Oryctolagus cuniculus: one gene and its partner. The protein of the gene in region 2 interacts with the protein of the main gene of each other region in a biochemical or structural test. Links are inferred from orthologs where the notes say so. Each region holds a gene or a part of one and is shown on either strand. Other genes may lie near its edges. The genes, in order: ECT2 and RACGAP1.

The links.
Region 1: the proteins of RACGAP1 (region 2) and ECT2 form a complex in vitro, tested with the Homo sapiens proteins (3 studies listed by BioGRID and IntAct, with this or other methods). The link is inferred for Oryctolagus cuniculus from reciprocal best matches to the Homo sapiens genes RACGAP1 and ECT2.

What each region holds. Positions count from the first base shown.
Region 1 is NC_091435.1:107,467,841-107,471,659, reverse strand, and holds part of ECT2 (protein ECT2), read left to right. Parts: intron 1-271; coding exon 272-402; intron 403-546; coding exon 547-662; intron 663-1,061; coding exon 1,062-1,124; intron 1,125-2,754; coding exon 2,755-2,977; intron 2,978-3,819. UniProt on the Homo sapiens protein: Guanine nucleotide exchange factor (GEF) that catalyzes the exchange of GDP for GTP. Promotes guanine nucleotide exchange on the Rho family members of small GTPases, like RHOA, RHOC, RAC1 and CDC42.
Region 2 is NC_091442.1:53,338,223-53,342,041, forward strand, and holds part of RACGAP1 (rac GTPase-activating protein 1), read right to left. Parts: intron 3,571-3,819; coding exon 3,406-3,570; intron 67-3,405; coding exon 1-66.

The DNA of each region.
Region 1 (3,819 bases), on a different chromosome or scaffold from region 2:
TTCGAGTCCTGGTTGCTCCACTTCTGATCCAGCTCCCTGCTGATGTGCCTGGAAAAGCAGTAGAGGATGGCCCAAGACCTTGGGTCCCTGCACCCATGTGGGAAATATGGAAGAAACTCCAGGCTCCTGGCTTCAGGTCAGCCCCACAGCCATTTGGAAAGTGAACCAGCGGATGGAAGACTCCCTCTCTCTCTGCTTCTCTGTAACTAAATGCCTTTCAAATAAATAAATAAAAATCTTTTTTTTTTAAAAGGATTTTTGTTTGTTTCAGGGATTTCTGTGCAACAATTGATGACTTTAGAAATGAATTTAAAGTTCCTCCATTTCAAGATTGCATTTTGAGTTTCCTGGGGTTTTCAGATGAAGAAAAAGCCAATATGGAAGAGATGACTGAAATGCAAGGTAAATTTTAACATAATTTAAAAGTTATGTATATTTCACTTCATCTGTCTTCTTAATCTTTTCTAATGATATGCCTCTTAATAAAATTTTGAGTTTGGAAATAATTAGTTTGGCTTATTTATACTTGCATGCATTTCTCTGTAGGAGGTAAATATTTGCCAGTTGGAGATGAAAGATGTACTCACCTTATTGTTGAAGAGAATATAGTAAAAGAACTTCCATTTGAACCTTCGAAGAAACTTTATGTTGTCAAGCAAGAGGCAAGTAATTCTAGAATGAAATTGGATTAAAAATTATTTATTTATTTGAAAGGCATAGGGACAGAGATAGAAATATCTCCAATCCACTGGTTACTTTTCCAACTGCACAGTAGCTGGGGCTGGGGCTGGGCCAAGCCAAAGCCAGGAGTTTGGAAAGCAGTTTGGATCTTTCGTGTGGGTGGCAGAGACTCAACTACTTGAGCCATCACTGGGACCTCTCAGGGTCTGTGTTAACAGGAAGCTGGAATCAGAAGTAGAGTTGGGATTTAAACCCAAGCACTCTACTATGAGTACCCACTGTGTCAAATACCCACCTTTAAATAGATTTTTTAAAACATTAATAATAGCATGTCTGGTAAGGCAAATTTAAACAATTAATTCAAATGTTCTTTCACCTAGTGGTTCTGGGGAAGCATTCAAATGGATGCCCGAGCTGGAGAAACTATGTATTTGTACGAAAAGGTATGTGTTTTGTCCTTTAGTCATTTGTTCTGTCAACTTGATTATATAAAAATAACACTTTTCTATCTGAAAGGTTTAGAGAACATGATATACTGTGATCTTTTTTGACATGTTTAGGAATTTAAGAAAAATTGGATATCAAGTAAATTCTTAGTCTACTTAGATTTAAGTAGAAGTACTCAATGTAATGGATATTACTTAATACTAATATGCATCATTTTTTTTGCTAATTCTTAGTGGTATCATTAAGAAAAATAACATCTTAAGAAACTTGGAAGCTTAAGGGAAAAACAGATTTGTAAGCAGTTACAGTGCAGAATAATATATGCTACAATTGAGTAATGCAGGATTGAAAATAAATTTTGAACCAATTTACTAAGCTAAGTGGTAAGTGTATTCAGGTTAGAATAGCAGGCGAAAGGATATGAAATCTTGGGAATACATTAAAATAGTAAGTACTTTAACACGACTATTTCTTTTAGTATGGCTTTAAAAAGAGTATAGGATAAACTTCAACGGCAGGATCAAGAAGTTTTTAAAGTGTTAAATAGCTTAAATTTAAGAATTAGGAACTACTGATGAATATTAATAAATATCACTGAAAAGATGATGTTAATAGTAGGTTAGGCAAGGAAAACCCAGCCTGTCTGCTGAATCTCCATGGAAGTTAGTGCCATTCGTCAAAATGGCATTGAGGTATAGAAATAGGCTTTAAGAGAAAGCTTACTTAGCCGGCGCCGCAGCTCACTAGGCTAATCCTCTGCCTTGTGGCGCCGGCACCCCGGGTTCTAGTCCCAGTCGGGGCGCCGGATTCTGTCCCGGTTGCCCCTCTTCCAGGCCAGCTCTCTGCTGTGGCCAGGGAGTGCAGTGGAGGATGGCCCAAGTCCTTGGGCCCTGCACCCCATGGGAGACCAGGAGAAGCACCTGGCTCTTGCTTTCGGATCAGTGTGGTGCGCCGGCCGCGGTGGCCATTGGAGGGTGAACCAATGGCAAAGGAAGACCTTTCTCTCTGTCTCTCTCACTGTCCACTCTGCCTGTCAAAAAAAAAAAAAAAAAAAAAGAGAGAAAGCTTACTTCAGTTTGGGATTTAATAAAGTGAAAATGAATAATGATAAAATAATGAGTAAAATATTGAAGATGAGATATGAGTTTATTATTGTGTTTTCTTCAGGCTGTACTGTTCAGTGTTGTCTTAATATAGATTTGAAAAACTGTTTCAGATTTAGAGAAAGAGCTATTAAAATCAAGTGTTTTCAGCAAATATTGGAGGGTATCATGTCCAGGCACTGCACTAAATGTTAGAGTTACAGTGAACAGAATGTGAGTGGTCACTGCCATTGTGGAGTTTATGGCTGAATGGAAGAGTAGAAAGTAGGTAAATAATAGATGAATAGACTAATAGATGAATATGTGATAGGACTATTAAAGGGAAAAATATGAGGTGGTAAGGGTTAGACAATTAACAGTGATGTCTTGACTATTATGTTTTATAAAGCTTCTAAATTTCTTGGCAGGGTGTAGGATTGTACAAAAATTCAGATTTTGTCAGACTCAAATATATTTTTCTCTTGTTCCTATCTCAGTAAAGAACCATAGAAGTAAAATTGAACTTTTCTGCTTCTGATTGCAGGCTAATACTCCTGAGCTCAAGAAGTCAGTGTCACTACTGTCTCTAAGTACGCCAAACAGCAATCGCAAAAGACGACGTTTAAAAGAGACACTCGCTCAGCTTTCAAGAGAGACAGATTTATCACCTTTCCCTCCCCGTAAACGGCCGTCAGCTGAACATTCCCTTTCTATAGGATCACTTCTGGATATCTCTAATACACCAGACTCTAGCATTAACTATGGAGGTAATTCACATTTTAAAAAGTTGATCTTTATAATTTAGTGGAACGGAATATAGTTAAAGTATAAGTAAATCTCTACCAAGTTGAATATGAAGGGCTTTACCTTGAGTTACCTTTGTTCAAATGGAGAACATACTTGAAAAGATAAGCATAATAATGCTTTTTATTTAGTGACTACTTACTATATGCCAAGTGCTTTATGTATTTCATATACTTATAGTAGGTTTTGTTATCCTTATTTAACATGACTGAACTGAAGTACAGAGAAGTAATTTACTCAGACTTTTGTGCTAGGGAGTAGTAGAGCTATTCAAAAAGAAAATTAACACTAAGTGGAATCACACAAATATGTGAGTTATGGAGAAAATAGAATGAAGTTAGGAAAGGATAAATTTACTGACACAGGAAGGCTGCAATTAATTCCTCTCTCTTTGATCATCAATAATTCCTTATCTTTTTATTTGCATTTTGCAAGCAAATATATTGTCTTTTTTAAAATCTATTAATATTTCTGTTTAGCTGCATATGTTGATAAGATACTAATCGGTTACATATTGAAGAAAACATGCAGTACAGAATATAGAAAAAAACGGTTCTATCCCCTCTTACAGCAAAAATGACCTCAAGGGCCAGAGCTGGGCCAATCTGAAGCCAGGAGCCAGGAGTTTCTTTCTGGTCTTCCATGTGGTTTCAGGGGCCCAAGTACTTGGCCATCTTCTGCTGCTTTCCCAGGTGCATTAGTAGGGTGCTGTATCAGAAGTAGAGCAGCCGGGACTTGAACCATTGTCCATATAGGATGCTGGTGCTGCAGATACCTGATTTTCCACAGCACTGGCTCCCAATAT
Region 2 (3,819 bases):
TACACAGTGGACAATGATGGAAGGGATCATCGGAGAGGTCTGGGACACAAAATCAGCCAGCATTCCCTGTGAAAGGAGCTTCAAGTTACCACTGAAAAACCACGTGTGAAGAACTACCTCCACTAACCCTCAGGATGGGACAACATGTCTACTTTTAAATTCCTACTGCCAGGGCAGGCACTGTAGCATAGTGGGTAAAGCTGCCACCTATGGTGCAGCATCCCACATGGGCACCAGTTCCAGTCCCAGCTGCTCCACTTCCTATCCAGCTCTCTGCTAATGGCCTGGGAAAGCACTGGAAGACGGCCGAAGTCCTTGGGTCCCTGCACCCACATGGGAGACCTGGAGGAAGTTCCTGGCTCCGGATTGGCACAGCTCTGGCCGTTGTGGCCAACTGAGAAGTGAACCAGAGGATGGAAGACCTCTCTCTCTGCCTCTCCTTCTCTCTCTGTGTAACTCTGACTTTTAAATAAATAAATAAATCTTAAAAAAAAAAAAAAAAAGAAATTGCTATTGCCAAAGCATATATCAAACACAGATCCTCAGTTTCTTTTCCTACCTCCAAACTAGGACCAATTCATGGTCCTAAAAACCCCTTGCAAACAGGTAATAAGACTATCAGCCATAACCATTACCTCTTTCTCTTCAACAATAATGAGCAATAATGAGATTACAGGTATGGCTTATAATATAATATAATATAATATAATATAATATAATATAATATAATATAATTATAGGTATGGCTTTTAAAATAAATACTGTAAAAAGGAAAAACTCCTGGGGCTGGCGTTGTGGCACAGTGAGTTAAGCCACTGCACACAATGCCAGCAGTCATATGGCCGCCAGTTTGAGTCTCGGCTGCTCAAATTCCAATCCAGCTCCCTGCTAACGTGCCTGGGAAAGCAACAGAAGACAGCCAAGTTTTTGGACCCCTGCAACCATGTGGGAGACCCAGATGGAGTTCCAGGCTCTTGGCTTCTACCTGGCCAAGCCCTGGCTATTGGGGCCATTTGGGGACCGAACCACGGGATGGAAGATATATTGTGCTCTCTCTTTCTCCCCTTCTCTCTGTAACTCTGCCTTTCAAATCAATCAATATTTATTTATTTATTTTATTTATTTTTTTGACAGGCAGAGTTTAGACAGTGAGAGAGAGACAGAGAGAAAGATCTTCCTTCCGTTGGTTCACCCCGCAAATGGCTGCCACGGCCAGCGCTGCACCGATCCGAAACCAGGAGCCAGGTACTTCCTCCTAGTCTCCCATGCGGGTGCAGGGACCCAAGTACTTGGGCCATCCTCCTCTGCCTTGCCGGGCCACAACAGAGAGCTGGAATGGAAGAGGAGCAACCAGGACAGAATCCGGTGCCCCAACTGGGACTAGAACCTGGGGTGCCAGAGCTGCAGGCAGAGGATTAGCCTAGTGAGCCGTGGCGCCGGCCAAATCAATTAATCTTAAAAAAACAAAAACAAAAACAAAAAACCTTCTTTGTAATTTAACTTTTTGCAGTATAAAAAATGATTTAACACACCTCATAGATGACCATGATACCAACCTACCTGCAGAGGAGAGTTTCACGGCCCTCTAACAGAGTTCTATATTACAGAGAATTTGTGCAACAGCAGATGTGCAAATAAGAACTCTTAAGATTAGGGGGAAATAACCTTTAATTTATGACAGAGTGGATAGCAGCACAGTTACTTTGCATTGATCCTTGCTAATGGTGCTTACATAATAAATTTAACTGATTTAACTGATTTTTAGAAATGAGAAACCTCGTCTCAATAACCTAGTATGGAATATATAACATGACAGATATTCACAGACGAAATTACATAATGGAGGCCGGTGCTGTGGCATAGTGGATAAAGCCACTGCCTGCAGTGCCGGCATCAAATATGGGTGCCGGTTCGGGTCCCAGCTGCTCCACTTCTGATGCAGCTCTCTGCTATGGCCTGGGAAAGCAGTGGAAGATGGACCGAGTCCTTGGGCCCCTGCACCTGCATGGGAGACCTGAAAGAAGCTCCTGGCTTCAGATCGGCACATCTCCAGCCACTGCGGCCAATTGGGGAGTGAATCAGCAAATGGAAGACCTCCCTCTTTCTGCATCTCCTCTCTCTGTGTAACTCTGACTTTCAAATAAATAAATAAATAAATCTTATTGAAAAAAAAAAAAAAGAAATTACATGATGGCTGTAAACTGCCTCAAAATAACTCAATAGGCAGGATCAGCAAGGAGAGGTGAGGATACTGATAAGTTAAGAACTGACATGAGGGGGCTGGCATTCCATATGGGCACCAGATAAGTCCCGGCTGCTCCACTTCTTTTTGTTTTTTTTTGAAAGATTTATTTATTTCTTTGAAAGTCAGAGTTACACAGAGAGAGCAGAGGCAGAGAGAGAGAGAGAATTCTTCCATCCGCTGGTTCACTCCCCAGTAGGCCACAATGGCCAGAGCTGTGCTGATCTGAAGCCAGGAGCCAGGAGCTTCTTCAGGGTCCCATATGTGGGTGCAGGGGCCCAAGGACTTGGGCCATCTTCTACTGCTTTCCCAGGCCAGAGCAGAGAGCTGGATCAGAAGTGGAGCAGCCGGGACTTGAATCGGTGCCCATATGGGATGCTAGCACTGCAGGCGGTGACTTTACCCGCTACACCACTGCACTGGCCACTTCTGATCCAGTTCTCTATTATGGCCTGGGAAAGCAGTAGAAGATGGCCCAAGTGCTTGGGCCCCTGCACCCACATGGGAGACCCGGACTAAGCTCCTGGATTTGGATCAGCCCAACTCCAGCTGCTGCAGCCATTTAGGGAGTGAACCAGCAGATGGAAGATCTTTCTGTCTCTCCTTCTCTAACTCTACCTCTCAAATAAATAAATCTTAACAACAACAAAAAAAGACATGAGTAACAACAGTTAACTAACAGGAAGTTAAGTAACAGGAAGCAGGAGTTAGTTACACTAATTCCTCTACATAACTGAATTTTTCCATAGTGTATCATGGCGAGGGGATTTTGGCTTAAAACGATTATTAATGGCCAGCGCCGCAGCTCAATAGGCTAATCCTCCACCTGCGGCGCCGGCACTCCGGGTTCCAGTCCTGGTCAGGGCGCCGGATTCTGTCCCGGTTGCCCCTCTTCCAGGCCAGCTCTCTGCTGTGACCTGGGAAGGCAGTGGAGGATGGCCCAAGTGCTTGGGCCCTGCACCCCATGGGAGACCAGGAGAAACACCTGGCTCCTGCCATCGGATCAGCACGGTGCGCCAGCCGCAGCTGCCAGCCATGGCGGCCACTGGAGGGTGAACCAACGGCAAAAGGAAGACCTTTCTCTCTGTCTCTCTCTCTCTATCTACTCTGCCTGTCCAAAAAAAAAAAAAAATTAAATAAGCAGACAAATCCACAAGTCATACCTCTCCTATCTTGACAGGTGTGCCCATCAGAGTGGGAATGCAGGGAAGAGGACAGCGCTCCCGGCATTCTGGATGTGAAACCACACGACAATCTCGACACTTCAGAGAGAGTTTGCCAAATTTGATTCGCTTCCCACATGGAACACAGGATTCAGGCTTAATAACCTGAGGATAAAACATGAGAGACGGAACAGAGCGGCATAAGCGAGAAAATATCATCATCAACCAACATTCACTGAGCATTTGGTATGTGCCAAACAACTTCCCAAACCTTTTATACATATTATGTAATTCTCACACAATCCTCTAAGGTAGGTTTTAGTTTCTTCATTTTAAGATAAAGAAATAAAATCAAAAAGAGCTTGAGTAACTTGCCTAAGGTCATACAGCTAGATGTCAACAGCCTGGAACTAT